Linked DNA regions of Rhinolophus ferrumequinum. The protein of the gene in region 2 purifies or fractionates together with the protein of the main gene of each other region. This does not show direct contact. Links are inferred from orthologs where the notes say so. Each region holds a gene or a part of one and is shown on either strand. Other genes may lie near its edges.

Region 1 (7,680 bases), on a different chromosome or scaffold from region 2:
CACGTAAACTCAAAACTTCAACCACGAGATATAAAACATAAACTATGTGCGAAGACATTCCCATGGAAGCTGAAAGTTATATTTCAGTGATGGCTTCAAGATAACTCTGAAGTTGAATCTAGAAAGATGACAATAGCTACAAAGAGCGGGAGGTGCATTAACTGCAGAGGGAGCATAAGTGCGAAGACTTCCAAACCTGACACCTGCTGGACACTGGCAATATTGCAGGTGGGGATGAACAAAGGCCAGGTGTGCAAGAGGGAGAAGAGACAGAAATTAAAATAGAATGGTTGGCTGAAGCAAGCTTGGGAGAGAGTGTGGCCTTTATCCCACAGGTGACGAGGACCTGGGCTACTATTGGAACAGTTTCTATTGGAACAGTTACTATTGGAACAGGGTAGAAAAAGTGCTCCTCTGCTATAACAACAACTAGTTAGATAAAGGGAATGATTAGAAAAAGCACCCCTTCCTCAGGGCCAACTAGCCTCCTGAGACTTGGCAGAGCACAGCTCAGATTTCATACTTCTGTGCACAACACAAGCTGAGCGCACCAACATGCACTAATCCTGTGGGAGTGGGCCATTATAAGCATTATTTTAAGCATATCTTTTCGTTTTAGATGATCACTCAAGACGAGTAGGCAGATGAATTGAGAGAAACTGAGCTCAGAGGCAGCAAAACCAGCTAGAAGCTTCTGCAATAGTCCAGGTAAAATGTAATTAAGGATGAAGAAACAAATCTAGGACATTAAAATCTACAAGCTAGACCCACTGGACGCAAGCGACAAAGGTTCAGTGAAGGAACTCTGAAGAGAATGGTCTCTGCAATACATTTTTCTTACATTCAATGTAAAATATTAAGCAAGATTAAGTACAGAATGGCCTTGACTGGAATTGAGATCTCTTCCAACTGGAATTTCTCTTGATTTCTAAGTTATTACTTTGGTTATGTCAAGTCCCTTCAGAGGCAGAGAACAGTTCCTACACCTGAATGAGAGGCAGAGAATAACCTGAATAATCTAGTTCTCTTATCTAGGTGATGAGTTGAACTGTCCTTGCAGGAGAGGTAACATATGGCACAAACCCCAGAGCCTAGAAAAGAGCCAGGCACATGACAAGTGTTCAGGTTTTTTAAAATAAATCAATAATTATTTCCTTTTCTAAACCTTCACACCCTCCCTCTCTGTTGGCTACTTTTTCTCAGCTGATAAACAATTAAGTGTGTCCATCTAAAACAAACATTCAGACCTAGATTTTCTGGATCTTCTTTGTGGGTCACCGCAGTCCTCTCCCATGTTTTCAAACACCTGTCCTCCCATAGAGCACAGATCTGTACCCTGGGCTAGACCTGTCTAGCAGACACGTTTGGATGTCCCACAGGCTGCTTTTAAAGCATCAGATACGAAGATCCTCTCCCCATTCCCGATCCCTTTCTACTGTGTTCTGCGTGTCACAGATGAAGTGCTGCTTTAAATTATCACTCAAGCTTGCTGCCCTCCCGCTTCTATTCTCTTTTGATCTCTGTAACCCAGTCCTCCCTACCTGTACCTTTTATTGTGGCCCTTAGATTACAAGTTGCCCTCTTCCCCCATCAATTGCCTTGCATATGAACGTGAGCTTCCAAATCAAAAGTGCATCTCATCATCTTTGAGTGGTTCCCACAGCCTAGAGGACAAACATCCAACTTTTTGACAGGACAAACAAGGCCCCTTCCCGTTTGGCCCTCACCAGGTTTCTAGTCTCAACCCTCACTTCTTTCTCAAACCTGAAGTCCTACTTCTGTACCTTAGTTTTGCCGTATATCCTTATATTTCTCAAGCTTTGACGCAAGCAGCTCCCTCCTGCCATCTGAGTAGCTTCTACATTCTTAGAACGGATGGCACCTCCTCCAGGAAGCCTTCCCTGAAACTTCTCTTCAAATATTCTGTCTCTGCAGCACCATAACTCACTTTTTCCAGAGTACCAACTACGGTGCTTGTGTTCACTTGCAGCCTCCCCCAGTAGAAAGGGAGATCCTCTAGGGCCGGAGCCTAGTGTCCAGCAGTGCTTGATGCTGACTGAGCTCACTCAAGTGCCAGGATCCTTCATACACATAACCTGCAAATTCTAAGAATCCATGGAAAACGTGGTTTTTAATGCCATTTTACAAGTGTGGTGATTGTAGTTCCAAAGTAACTTGCCCAGGTCACAGTGTAAGCGCTGGAATTCAAACCGTAGGCTGCATTCACACCTATGCTCTTTCCACTATATAATGCTACTATTGAAAGTTTTCCCCCTAACAGATCTTTGTCTTAAAATGAAGTGAAAGTGTGGGATGTATCAATTTCCTAATCGCTTTGTTCTACGTTAGGCAAAATCATTCAATAAAACTCGGTAACATCTGTCGAATGCTTAATGATGTCCCGAACTGTGCTAAGCGCTCTACAAGCATTAACTCGGCGAATCCTTGCAACTACAGCAAAGAATGGGTCCTGTTAAGCCCATGGTACAGTTAAGAAAAGAGACCTAGAGGCTTTAAGGGACTTGCCCAGAGTCACCGAGCTGGTGAGCCTCCTGGGCCGCACGCACCGTCCCCTGGATACACACCCCGACGCTGGGCACCCGTTCCAGCGCCCAGGTTCCACCTTGCACCGTTTAAAATCCCGCTTCACGGCACCAACACGAGGGCCGGTGGAAGCTGGAACTACAAACCTATTTCGGCAAGCCACGGCTGGAAGAAGCTTTTGATAGAGACCAGGGGCAGATCTTTATTAATCTTGAGCGTGCTCAGGAGCGGCGCCCAGTCCACCAAGCGGAGGCGGTCGGCGTTGAAGTCCAGCACGCCCTCCCGCAGGCAGGCGCGCACGGCGGGCAGCGGCACCGAATCCTGCAGCGCGCACCGGTACTCGTAGTGGGAGAAGAAGTCGGCCGCGCTGTCGCGGCGCAGCTTCACCGAGTCGATCATGGCCAGAGGGCAGCCTCGGGGGACGCCGGCGGTGGAGGCGCAACCCGCACCCGCCTAGAGCTCCAGGTCGCTGCCTGGCCCCTCGGACGCCCACAGCTCAGCGGCGGCGGCGCGTACCGTGTGCGGGAGCAGTGGCTCGGCCAGCACACGCAGGGCCCGGGACCCGAGCTAGGCCGCCCCTCCACACCGCGCTCGCAGGCCGTTAGCGCCCGCCTCATCACTCTCCGCGGCGCGGGACTGCGTTTCAAGCCGGCGGGCGGATGCCCGCGGGGGCGGTGCGCCAGTGCGTCAGCGCGCTCGCCGTGCGTCGGCACGCAGGCCCCGCCTCTCGGGGAGACGGCGCAGGAGACTGAAGGGCGGGACTTTCGAGGCGAGGGCGATGCGAGAGGTATGTGGTTTTAGGACTTTGGGGTTCCCTCCAAGGGAATCCGAATGAAAGTGTGCTATGGAGGTAGCAACGCATTTTCAAAGGTATTCCGGACACCTCCTAAATATCTGTGCTTGCAGCGCCCGGGAGGGTACAGTTAAAAAGGATGTAGAAACGACTGTGGTCCATTACATCTTTCAAATCTGTGTTAATTTCTGCAAAGAACTTTTCATTTCTGTAGTTTCTACTCATCTCACACAGTTGTTGGCAAATTGTAGAGTATTCCACGCATTCAGAACATTGTTGTGGTTTCTAGTAATTTCTTTGTACTGAGGATGATGATGATGGTTAACTGTGGTCACTAGTACTTTCTGTCTCCTAGGCGTTATTCTAAGCACTGAGTCAGTATGAAATCATTTAATTTTCTTAACAACTCCGCAGAAAGTTTACTATTGTATATCCATTTTACAAAAGAGAAACCGAGGCACGGGAAGTTAAGTAACTTCCAGCTAAGTAAGTGGAAGAACTCAAGACAATTGGTGTTAAATTAATTAAACAATGAAGTCGTTAGACTGATGTGGCTCGAATGCTGTGGCGACCTACATACGAAAACCAAAGCCTAAGCCTTAAATGCCTCACTGTTATGAAGTCAAAAAGGGAGGGACAAGCAATCACAAGCAGTCAACTAGGCTTTAAGCTATAGTCAGTCAATAATTTCCTTGCTTTGCTTTCTTTTTTATTTTTTTTTATTTTTAATTTATTGGGGTGACAATTGTTAGTAAAGTTACATAGATTTCAGGTGTGCAATTCTGTATCACATCATCCATAAATCACACTGTGTGTTCACCACCCAGAGTCAGCTCCCCTTCCATCACCATACATTTGATCCCCCTTATCCTTATCCCCCACCCCCCAACCCCTTTGCTTTCTCCTTTTTCCTATGAAAGTCTCTCCCCAGCTCCCACTGGTGGAGCGCTCCTAACCACTTCCAGTTTGATGCTGCCTGATTTGAATTGATTTTTGCTCACATAAACTTAAAAATTTAAATACGCTTCAGTTTATCTTTCAACATTGACCTCATAACCTGTACGTATTTATATCCAGTTTCTAGAACAATGGTAGTCCTCCACCCAGGCCTCAGGCATTATGTTTACAGCATTGCTCTCCCATCCACTGCATTCCGGATACCCCCACCCACTACCAACATGCGCACACTCCACTAAAATTCCCTAGATGTGGTCAATAATGACTTCTACATGCAACATGCTCAAACTATAATATAGTCATGCACCGCATTAACCGTTTCGTTTAATGATTGACTGTATTTACGATGCTGGTGTACTATATAGCCTAGGTATATAGGCGGCTATACCATCTAGGTTTGTGTAAATGCACTCTGTGATGCTCGCACAATGACAAAATTGCCTAACGATGCATTTCTTAGAACATAGCCCCGTCATTAAGTGCTGCATGATTGTGTAGCAAACATTCCTCTACCCTCCGACCAGCTTATGAAATGAAATATCACCATTCCTGTTGAAGAGCCACTCTCCCAATCACAACCACTCTCTAATTGACCTTGGATACCTCTCTTCTGAACTTTGTATTCATCATTGCAATGTATGTCTGTATATTTCTGCTATATTTACAAGTATTTTTAAACAGCATATAACATTGTACTATGTTTTCTTCTGCTACCTCTTTATTTAGTGTTATCTTTGCTAGGTTCATCCATGCTAATTTGTAAAGATCTAGTTCATATATTTTCCTTGCTGTATAGGATTCCCAAGTAGGAAAATGCAATAATTTGTCTATTTTCCTGTTGATGGAAGTTTAAATTGTTGTCAGTTTTCAGTATGATTTCTTTGTTACTACATCCATTTTTATAGTCTTCGGCATCACTTAATGTAGTTGTCCACTATCTTCTTAAATCTTCCTTTTTTTCCATGTAGCCACCTAATTCCACTTCTCTAATTCCTTCTTCTCTGTCTCACTCTTGGGTGTCTCTTGCTGATTCTAAATGTTGGTGTTTTTCAGGTTCCCATCCTCAGTGTCCACCCTTTCTGACATTTCACAATTTCGCTGGGCGATCTGATCCCCTGCTCAGGCTTAACTTCCACTCTAGGCTGATGACTTCTAACGAAGATCTCTTTCTCCATACCTAAGACTGCTTTGTGGAAAGCTAAAGATTGTGCAGTGCCTGCAGTGTCAATTTTGTATTTTTTAGCTTGCTACATAGGCTCCTTCATGATTTGACTTATTTCTTGCTATATTCTTCCCTGAATGTCCCCTCAACAAGTGAAACTGCTTGAAGTTTCTGATGTTCTATTATTCCTACCTGGGACTTTACAGGTACTGCTCCTTTGCCTAGGACCCTCCTCCTCCACTCCCTCCTTACTGGGCTGCCTTCCACGTGTTTCCCAGCTTCAGGTTGGGGATCACCTTCCCTGGGAGGCCTTCTTTCCCTAGTCCTCATCTCTCCTTCCCTGCTTGTTTAGTGCCTAACTGCTCTGCTCCCTGACATCCCTGTATGGTAACACTTAGTGTATCTAATAATAAGCATCTCTTTAGGTGGTTTTCCTTCCATAAACCATAACTCCTTTGAAGGCAGGGACCATGTCTCATTTATGCCTATATTCCCTGTGTCTAGCACAGTGTTGGTACATAGGAAATGCTGAATAATGACTTTTGGAGCATTCTCCTCTATTCTCTCTGGAAGCCATTATCAACACCTTGTGGCCGCTGCCTACAGATGCAGCTCAGGGAAACCTTCGTCATATTAACATACTCATTTTAAATTTACTTTCCCCAAGCTTACTTATTTTCTGTCTGGCAAGATTTCTTTCAAGGCTTAATATTCTGATAATCACTCTTCTATTTCCATTTAAATATGGCTTAATAGTTCTTTTGGCTCCTACCTTAGTTCTCCTTTTGGCATCTGGCGAGTTCTACCCACATGCTTCCCTGAACAGTGAGCAAAAGCTGCCTCCATACAGCACCTCTGGGATCCTCTAACAAACCATGGTTATGCCTGTCCTAAGACAAAGTGCTTGGGCTTCCCTGCAGGTACATGACTTGGAAAGAACATGCAGTACAAGAGATGGGCTCTCCTCCTTCAGGGGTCTGGTGAGTGAATGTTTGGCTAGAATACAGTTAAGTGGGATCGTTTTACCTCTGATTCACTGTACTCACTCCTAGTCCACACTGACAACATGATACTCAGACTGTCAAGCCAACCTACCATTCCATGGGACCTCAGTGCTAATGCTGTCTGCTCATCTCTAACATTCATCATCTCTGGACCTGCTTTTAGAGGAATGAGTTTGTTAGGTCCAGTCCCAAGCTCTGACAAAACATAGGCTGTTTTATTTTAAGTGACATGTGGTCCCCATTTCTTTTTTTCTACTCCCTTACTTACAGCTATTCACAGTGGTTCTTCCAAACCGCCTCCATTTTCATGTCACCACTAGACTCTGCTCTCTTACCTGAAGAGGATACCTCTTATTTCACCAGGAAAATTAGGTTTCAGACACAGACTTCCTTGTCTTCTTTCCACTAACGCTGGCCACCTTCCAACCTATGGTCTATAATGCAGCCGCCACCACCTCCTCTTCAAATCCTTTGGTGACTTCTTATTGCTCTTGCATAAAGACACACTTCCTCACAACGGTCTAAAATAATGCTACTCAACATGAAGTCCACAGACTGGCTGCTGGTTGAGAACTGTTACTGTTCTTTAAGATAAGAAGTTTGCTTCAGAATGAAAATCATGTCTGTTTAGTTCAGCAGACAAGACTTTCTTGATGAAGGAAGCAGTATGTTGAGTTCCGTTCTAGAACAGCTCCTTATCTCATTGTGTACTGGCACTTTGAGTGCAACAGTCTACAGGGCACTGCATCCCCTGGGCATGATGGAGACATGATCTCTGCAGCCTTGTCTTGTGCCCCACTCCCTTTCATTCTCAGTAATCCATCCTGCAATGGCCTCCTTTCAGGCCTGCTTACTTACAGTGGTTCATTTTACACTGTAAGTAAGCCATGGTACTTACACCATGGTACACCTCCCAAGGTTCTTTGATTATGTCATTACTCAGTTCCAAACCTTCCATGACACCTATTGCCAACACAATACAGCCCAAACTCTTAAGATTGACATTTAAGACCATCCATAAGTTGGCTTTAATTTCTCTTTTCAGACTTAAAAAGAAAATTTCATGGATCTAATTAATTGTCTCTGTATCTTTGCTCCATTCCAGCTCTACCTATTATAATACTAAAAGTTTTCTAGTCACCCACCTTGTGCCTCCTTCTCTGGAAAACTTCACTGAGAATCCAAGCAAGATATGGATCCCTTCTCTTCTCTGAACTTAT
Region 2 (8,034 bases):
GAATACTACACAGGAATCAAATGGAATGAACTACTCCTCATACAAATGACAGTATGAGTCCATCTCAAATGCATTATGCTGAATGAAAGCAGCCAGACCAAAAACAAAAAGGAAAAACGTCCGGATTGTGTGATTCCATTTGCACAGCTTTGAGGAACACTTGGGTGCCAGAGTTGGAGGTGGAGGTGGAGGTATTACCAAGGGGCTGGAAGAAATTTTTGCGGGTCATGGATATGTTCACCATCTTGACTGTGCCATGGGTGCGTAAGTATGTTATAATGTATCAAATTGTACATTTTAAGTATGCTGAGTTTACTGTAGGTCAAGTGTACCTCAATCAAGTTTTAAGAAAACCCAAAAAAGATAAGGGGAAAGATCACAAAGGTCCTCAGTAGGCTGGTCCAGGAAATTTGAAGACATTGGGTCAACTGAAATATTTGAAGAAAACGGAGGGGCAAGATCAAACGTGAGTTAGGACTAGCCAGTCTAGGAGCGATGTGGAGGAAAGACGTCAGGACTACCAGTGAAGGAGAGAAGGCAGGGGTCAAGTGATTTGGAAAGATCAAGCGCAGGCCAGGAGGTCAGCAGAGAACCTCCTCAGACACCTCAGGTACAGAACTGACAGACATGTGGAAAGAAGAGCAAGGGCTCTCGGATTTCCAACTTGGATAAGTGACGGTCCCCGTAGGCAAACAGTGTGACCTACAGTCGGCAGCTCAGGAGGGCGATAAGGCCCAGAGATACAGGGCTGAGTTACTGAGGTGGTCAAGGTCACCCAGGCAGAGAACCCAGACAGGGACTGTGGATACTGCACCAAGAATTCAAGTGCGGTGTCCAGGAAAAGGTCATGCTGCAAAAACCAAGGAATGCACAAAGGAAAAAGAAAGAGAAAAAAGTCCCAAAATTCAAAGATTTTCAGGAAGGAAGAAGGAATTAAGAATGTCAAATGCCACAAAGAGCCACTAAGATAGGTAAGAACATATACTCACTTAGGATTCTTCTTGACAGCAGCAAAAGAAAGTACTAAGGTGTAGCATAAGACGTTAATGGATTAAAAGGTGCCTGGAATATAAATCGTATAAGACATACACATTCTTTCAAAACTTGACAGTGGGGGGAAAAAAGTGGTATTAAAAGCAGAACATGAGACGAGGGCAACAGCTTTCTCCTTGAGATATAAACTTGTTTCCACGCTCAAAAGAGCCAACAAAGAGGGAGGAGCCGAGAGTACCAGCACGGCAAACCCAGAGAAAGTGATGATTCTTGGTGAAGAAAGAGCCTCCGATAGCAAGCAGGAAGGAAAGAAGTGCAGCGTGCAGACGCAGGGTAGCTGGAGGACACACACAGTGAGGGCTTGACGCCTGAGGCTTCTGTTTCCCTGCAAGGGAGAGACAAGACCCGCTGTCAAGATGAAGAAGGGGGTCGGGCAGAAGGCTATGGTGAGGCTGGAGTGGGAGCTGCTACGCAGACAGCAGAGGCCTGGGCCTGACAGGGCCCTGCTCAGGTTGCAACCACCGTTCAGTGACACCAGCAATCCACAGGCTTGGGTGACAAACAAGAAGGGAGTTAGTTTGTTGAATTAAGTGACCAATGAGATTTACCAAGTATAGCGGGAAGGCCAGGCAGTCAGGCTTCTGGAGATCTGGACCATGGGGTCCAGACCAGTCAGGGCCGAACGGCAGCCAAGAGAGGACTGATGCTTGGATGAACACCCAAGAGCCAAGAGCTGAAGAGGTTCATGAGGTTAGAGAGGCACAGGCATCTAGGTCTGAAGAAGTGACAGGAGAGGAGGCTGATTTGTCACAGAACAAGCTGAAGACCTTCATTATGGAGTGCGTATGTGGACAAGGATCCAGGACCTTTACTCAGGGTGGTGGTGAGACTTGCAGTAGGGAGAAAAGACTAAACACTTAAATACAGAGAGGAGGCTGGACTTGTGACAGCAAGAAAGATGACATGATTTTAAAATAACTAGGTGGTCTTGACAGTTTGGGGAAAACCGGCATACTGTGTTTCCCCCAGCTGGTGGGGATTCACAATGCATAGGAAAGGTTCTGAGGAGTCCTGCAGTAAACTCTGAGAATAGAAGCATTTCTTCCACTAGCTCCCATGACCTTGTGTTTCAGATGTCCCCAATACAAGAGGATCTATGACACTTAAGATTCAGATTGGCCTCAGGAGTACTGTGGTTCCTTAACTTTCCTCAGATTGTCCCAAAGTTCTGAAATATACACAAAAAGGTTAATGTTCACTCTATTGTAAAGAAACGTAATCCTTAATAGTTCAAAATGATCCCTGCGTGCCCACGACCACGTGTAGTATTTTACAATGGATTTTAAGTAGAAACGACACAAAAATGAACATAGTCATATTAAAATTCGTAGATTTCATACCTCTACTTTTTCTTGTTCCTCTAGTGCCAAAAACACAGCTGCTCGGAGTTCAGCCTTTAAAAAAAGGGGGGGAGAGTTGGGGGGTAATGGAACAGAAACTGCTTCGAGACAATTTTCAGGACAAGAAAAGCATAGGACGTTCAGTTCCACTGGCACCACCCACACCATCTGAAGTCAAAAACGCACACTGGCAAGACAATGCTTAGTGGGCAGGTGCAAAGAGGCCAGAAAAGCCCCCAGAGGCGTTGGAACAGTGCCCCAAGCTCTCCGCGCCCCTTGGCCTTGTCCCTCCGCAGCCACCCTCCGGATTAGCCCAGCCTACGAGCCCCGACAGGTCTGAGCTGGACTCGCCGAGAAACACCCCGCCAGGCCGGCAGCCCGCCAGTTACAGCGACCCGGAGGGAACCCCGCCACCGCCCGGGACTCGAGGAGCGCCGGGCGACTCAACCGCCCGCAAGCCGCTGCTCGGCCTCCTCTCCCGCAGGCGCCGCGCGGCCCGGGGTCTCCCTGGGAGTGACCCTCGACCCCCGAGGTCGCCCGCCCCCGCCCACGGGCCCGGACCCTGCCCGGGAGGCCAGCCTGACGCACCCCGCGTCCCTTTGTGACGCCAACCGTCCACACATGCTCCACGGCCCGCAGGCGCGGCCGGCCTCCCCTCCGCCAGGCCCTGCCGGCCCGGTCTCCCGCCCCACCTTGATGCGATTCAGGACCCCGCTGTTCTCCAGCGTCTGCACCAGCAGGTCCCGCAGCTCGGTGTCCTCCTCCGCCACCACCGCAGCCGCCGTCGCCGCCATCTTGCTTCTCCAAGACAACCGGCCAAGCCGCGCCAACGGCCAACGGCCGCCGCAGATTTCTCGCGGCGTGCGGCAACGCGAACGAGACCACGCCCCGGCGCCGGTGCGCAGCCCCTCACGCCAGGGGCGGGGCCTCGGAGCGCAACCTGACGCCGGGGGCGGGGCCTAGGGCGGGGCGTCAGGGGCGGGGCTGTGGCATGGATCGGGTAGGGCGGGGCCGGGGTTTGGGGCGGAGCGAGGCCCTGGGTCCTTGGCTTGGGGGCGGGGGGACCCGGGAACTTGGAGTGAGGCAGTGGGATGGGGGCGGGGCCACTTGGTTAAAAGTAAGTTACGTTTCAGACAAGTAAGTTGATAGCACAGCCTTTGTCGTTTCCTTCCCTGCCTTGTCCTGTTTCCCCACTACCCCACCGGTGTTTCTTGGGATCTCCTCCCAAAAAACTGTTTACACTCAATTGTTGTCTCTTGGTCTGCTTCTGGGGCACTCAAACCAAGCCCCTTATCCCAGACTTAGTCATGTAAAGCAGGTCTGTGGGGACAGAGCCAGGAGTGCAGTTTCCAGGCTCTCGGCCTCACGTGGAAAGGTGCTCACTAGGGTAGTAAATGGCCATCAACTGTGATTGGATGGCCGTCAGCTGTGCCTGGTTGGCCGTCAGCTGTAACCAATGAGCAATTGGCCATTAATATAACTGCAGTGGCTACGCTAGCAGCAAATGGGGGCTGGCAAGAAGGTGGTGGCTGAGCTAGCAAGCGTGGATTGCAGTTAGCAAGTGGGGTTGGTTGGTTGACAGAGAAGTGTATGGCAGATTGCGGATAGTGTGGCTCCTGCTTCCTGTGTTTCCAACCCAGCCACCAGCGAGACTATAGTGGTATGACACCCCTATCTATGGCTCCATGGGTGTTCCTTTTAGGCCTCACCACATCCTGCGTTCTTGTGCGGGGAACGGGACAGGAGACCCCCACCTAACACCCTGCACGACCAAGGGACAGGGATGGCTTTTTGGAGGACAGGACACTTGACGTGAGATACACAATCGTAGTGGGGGGTTTACTGATGCCTGAAAAAGAAAGGGGCATTCTGCGCAGACAGAGCCTAACAGCCCAGAGCACCAAGGCCAAGAGGCACAGGGCAGTGTGCTCTGTGCAGGGATGGCAAGTGGGCTGGAGACAGGAAGTCAATGGATCAGCAAGGGCATTAGCCACTGATACTATGAGTTTGACTTTCATCTTGAAGGTGTGAAATAGCAAGCTAAACATGGTTTGAAAAGGAATGTGACATTAGCTCATTTGGGTTTTAGAAGCATCCAGAAGCAAGAGGGGAGGGGTGAGTTGGATGCAGTGACACTGGAGACAGTTGAACAATCCAGGAGCCCAGTGGGGAGAAAGACGGGCCTGGACTCCACTCGAAAAGGAAGGTTAATCGCCTATCAGGAATGCTAAAGAAAATTTGTTGTGTAGATTCTGTCGCTTATCAGGAATTCTACAGAAAATTTACTGTGCAGATTCTATTATTTCATCAGATTTCAAGGAGAAAGAGCTCACTAATTTCTTGGCATATGGAATAGCTGTAAATTCCTTGAACCTATTACCACATGCATGTAATAAAAGAAATAATAAAATTACATTTTTTTTTTTTAAGAAAGGAATGTAAGTTCCTAAAAGTCAGTCGGAGACTGCAGCATACTTCTTCTGTGACACTGTTACTACTCAGTACGGTCGTATGTATACAGAGGACCATCAATGAACAGCTGTCATTTAGCATCTACAATGAGCCATAATTTAAGCTCCATGCAGTAAATCATTAAACTTTATCTGCATGATAACCATGAACATTGTAGATGATGATATGATGAGCCAGCTGAGACTCAGAAAGGTTTGTCTAAGATCAAAAAGTTACTCAGAAAATGATGCAGCTCATTTCCTACGAGTTGAAATACTGAAATCCGGGAAAGAGAGGAACTTTTCCTAATATTCTAAACAATGAAAAGGTAAGTGTTATGTAAGCAGCGTAAACATGCTAAGTAATGAAAAGCGAACCTCCTGCCAGAGTAAAAGGACCTCGTAGGGAGGGTTGGGGGGGGCAGGGTGGGGCTCAGTGAAAGGAACAAGGAGTGAGTGAGTGGGGGCGGGGGTGAGGGAGTGATGGCGGTGGAAGGGACGCTTGATTCTTTTTTTTATTGGAAACACGTGGGATTTTCTTTATTAAATAGTCACACTTGATTCTTATTTGACTTTTTCTAGGTCTGCAACTAGAGCTCCTCTGTCAGCTAAACTACAATTCTCTATTTCATTTCTTTTAGCAGCTTTAGAAGATAACTTTCCAAGTCACTATGGTATTAATTATTTCAATTACTGCTTCATCAAAAGAGTTAATGTACCTCTTTACTCCTGGGGAGTGGCTTATATAATGAGGGAATTTGCCCTAAAATACATGCGTTTTTCCTATCATAAAATTAATAAAGTAAATTAATAAAGCTCTGTCTGAAAACATCCATTTCCTTGAGGAATTTAAGGCTGCAGATGTCGCCATCTATATAGTCGTAAACATGGGACTTTTAATATTGTTGCTTAAAATTTTTAATAATTGAAGGAAAACATACTATTACATTTAAAGAATATCCCAAATAAGCCTTAAATTAAGAAGGAAGAAATGGGAAATGCATCACTGGTTGGCTTGGCAGTTAAGACAGCTATTAACTTATTAATTTTCATATCTCACCAAAATTGATGGTTTAAGGTTAAAACGATGAAAAAAAATGCCCTTAAATGTGATACTAATTATGTGCTTCACATTTAGCTTGTTCTTATTTTTACCAATTTGGTCTCCATATTTTATGTTAGAACATTATAAAGAAGGAACAACTGCACAGTTGACGATTTTATGTTATTTAATTCACTTCCTCATCCCAGCTATTCTACATGATGCTCTTTTTTTCACAGCTTTATTGAGAAATAATTCAAATATATGTTCATCCATTTAAAGTGTACAATGATTTTGGTAGTTACGGAAATGTGTAGCATCATCACATTGTAGTTGTAGGATAGTTACGTGCCCCTAAAAGGAACCCCATACTCACTGGCATTCACTCTGCACCCCACTCCGCAGCCCTAGGCAAACATGACTCTACTTGAGGTCTCTGTAATTTTGCCTATCTGGTCAATTTCTATACACGGAATCATATAACGTGGTCTTTTGTGACCTGCTTCTCTCACGTAGCCTAATGTATTCAAGGTTCATCCATGTTGTAGCCTGTGTCCCTACTGCATTTCCTACCAACGATTAATGTTTTACTACCAATATTGGGTAATAGTCCATTGAATGGATGAACGCCTGTGGGGACAGAGTCCCAGAGAGCAGTTTCCAGGCCCTCGACCTCACGTGGAAAGGTGCTGGCTCGGGTAGTAGAGGCCATCAGCTGTGATCAGATGGCCATCAGCTGTAACCAGTTAGCCATTGGCCACTGATTCAACTGCCGTGGCTATGCTAGCAAGTGCGGATTGCAGCTAGCAAGTGGGGTTAGCAAGCACGGATGGCAGATTGCGGATCCTGTTGATCCTACTTCCTGTGTCTTGCCTGGGCCTGGCTGCCAGTGAGACTGGGGTGCAGGAAGACCCCCTGTTGGGGTACTGGCGGATGTTTACTTTTGTATCTCTACCAGCTGCCATTGAGAATATAGTGGTATGACCCCTATCTGTGGCTCCGTGGGTGTTCCTTTTTGGCCTCACCATATTCTCTGTCCACCTGCCGAGGGCTGGACCAGAGACCCTGTATTACAACGCTGTTTGTTTATTCATCAGATGATGGATATTTGCCTTGTTTCCTAGTTTGGGCTGTCAAGAACAATGCTGCTATGAAAACTCGTATACAAGCTTTTGTGTGAACATATACTTATTCAGCATATTTCAGATTGACACCTAAAATTAAAGACAACTTGCCTTTAAAAAAAAAAAAAAAGAGGAAGGACCTGGACTTATGCTGCAGCGATGGTGCAGAGAAGAGAATGGATCTGAGCTACAAATGTGCTACAGGGACCAACTCTGCAACCAGACTCTGACAGGGAGCGCAGGAGGCCAGAGCAGGGGAAATGCCTTTGACTTCCCAGTCGCACATTTTTGGCCTAGACAGTCCCTGTGTCTTTAACAGTCAAACATAGAAAAGGTGTACTGAACCACGGTGGTAGCCTTTCAGTGTGAACTTAGGAATATCCATGCTTTCTCTCTTGAGGTCAGCCATCCTGTGTGTGTCAGGGTCGGGATAGTTTACATAGAGGTGGAGAATGATTAAGGTGCTCAATGGCCTATGTGTTTCCATAAATGTTTTATAGTTTGTGCAAAAGCCAGCAGCATGCTGGGGAAGGAGAAGAAGCCTGCGTCTCTCCCATTGGAATAGTTATCACACTTACTGAAATTGCTTAGCTCATCATTTGAACAAGGACTTGATACCAGGTTTTGTGTAGCGGTTACAGAAGGAACTTTTGAGCCCCACGACACAGGTTCAAATTCACTTCTGGTGGTGTTGACTGTAGCAAGTTCCTTAATCTCTCTGTGCCCCAGTTTCCCATTTGTAAACGGGGTAAAAATCTCCCCGTGCAGGTAGTTAGAATGATAGAATGATTGCTATACGTAGGTAGAACTGAATGTCTGAAGCACAGAACATACAATAAGTATTAACTGTTAGTAGTTGTTTTGTATGTACAACCTCATTTCATTCTCTCCTTGATGTTTTTTTTTTTGAGTTACTTGTTATTTTGTTGCAACTAATGCTCAGAAAAGTTAGGTAGCTTATCCAGTGACACAGCTGGCAGCTAAGATTAACCACCAAGTCTATTCAGTTCCCAACACATACTCTT

The links. The genes of interacting proteins can lie anywhere in the genome.
Region 1: the proteins of CEP43 (region 2) and CEP78 purify together in Homo sapiens (affinity purification with mass spectrometry; 3 studies listed by BioGRID and IntAct, with this or other methods). This does not show direct contact. The link is inferred for Rhinolophus ferrumequinum from reciprocal best matches to the Homo sapiens genes CEP43 and CEP78.

Annotation. Positions count from the first base shown.
Region 1 is NC_046295.1:42,818,564-42,826,243, reverse strand, and holds the start of CEP78 (centrosomal protein of 78 kDa), read right to left. Parts: upstream 3,041-7,680; 5' UTR 2,944-3,040; coding exon 2,691-2,943; intron 1-2,690. UniProt on the Homo sapiens protein: Centriole wall protein that localizes to mature centrioles and regulates centriole and cilia biogenesis. Involved in centrosome duplication: required for efficient PLK4 centrosomal localization and PLK4-induced overduplication of centrioles.
Region 2 is NW_022680354.1:1,061,678-1,069,711, reverse strand, and holds the start of CEP43 (centrosomal protein 43), read right to left. Parts: upstream 3,293-8,034; 5' UTR 3,188-3,292; coding exon 3,086-3,187; intron 2,448-3,085; coding exon 2,394-2,447; intron 1-2,393. UniProt on the Homo sapiens protein: Required for anchoring microtubules to the centrosomes. Required for ciliation.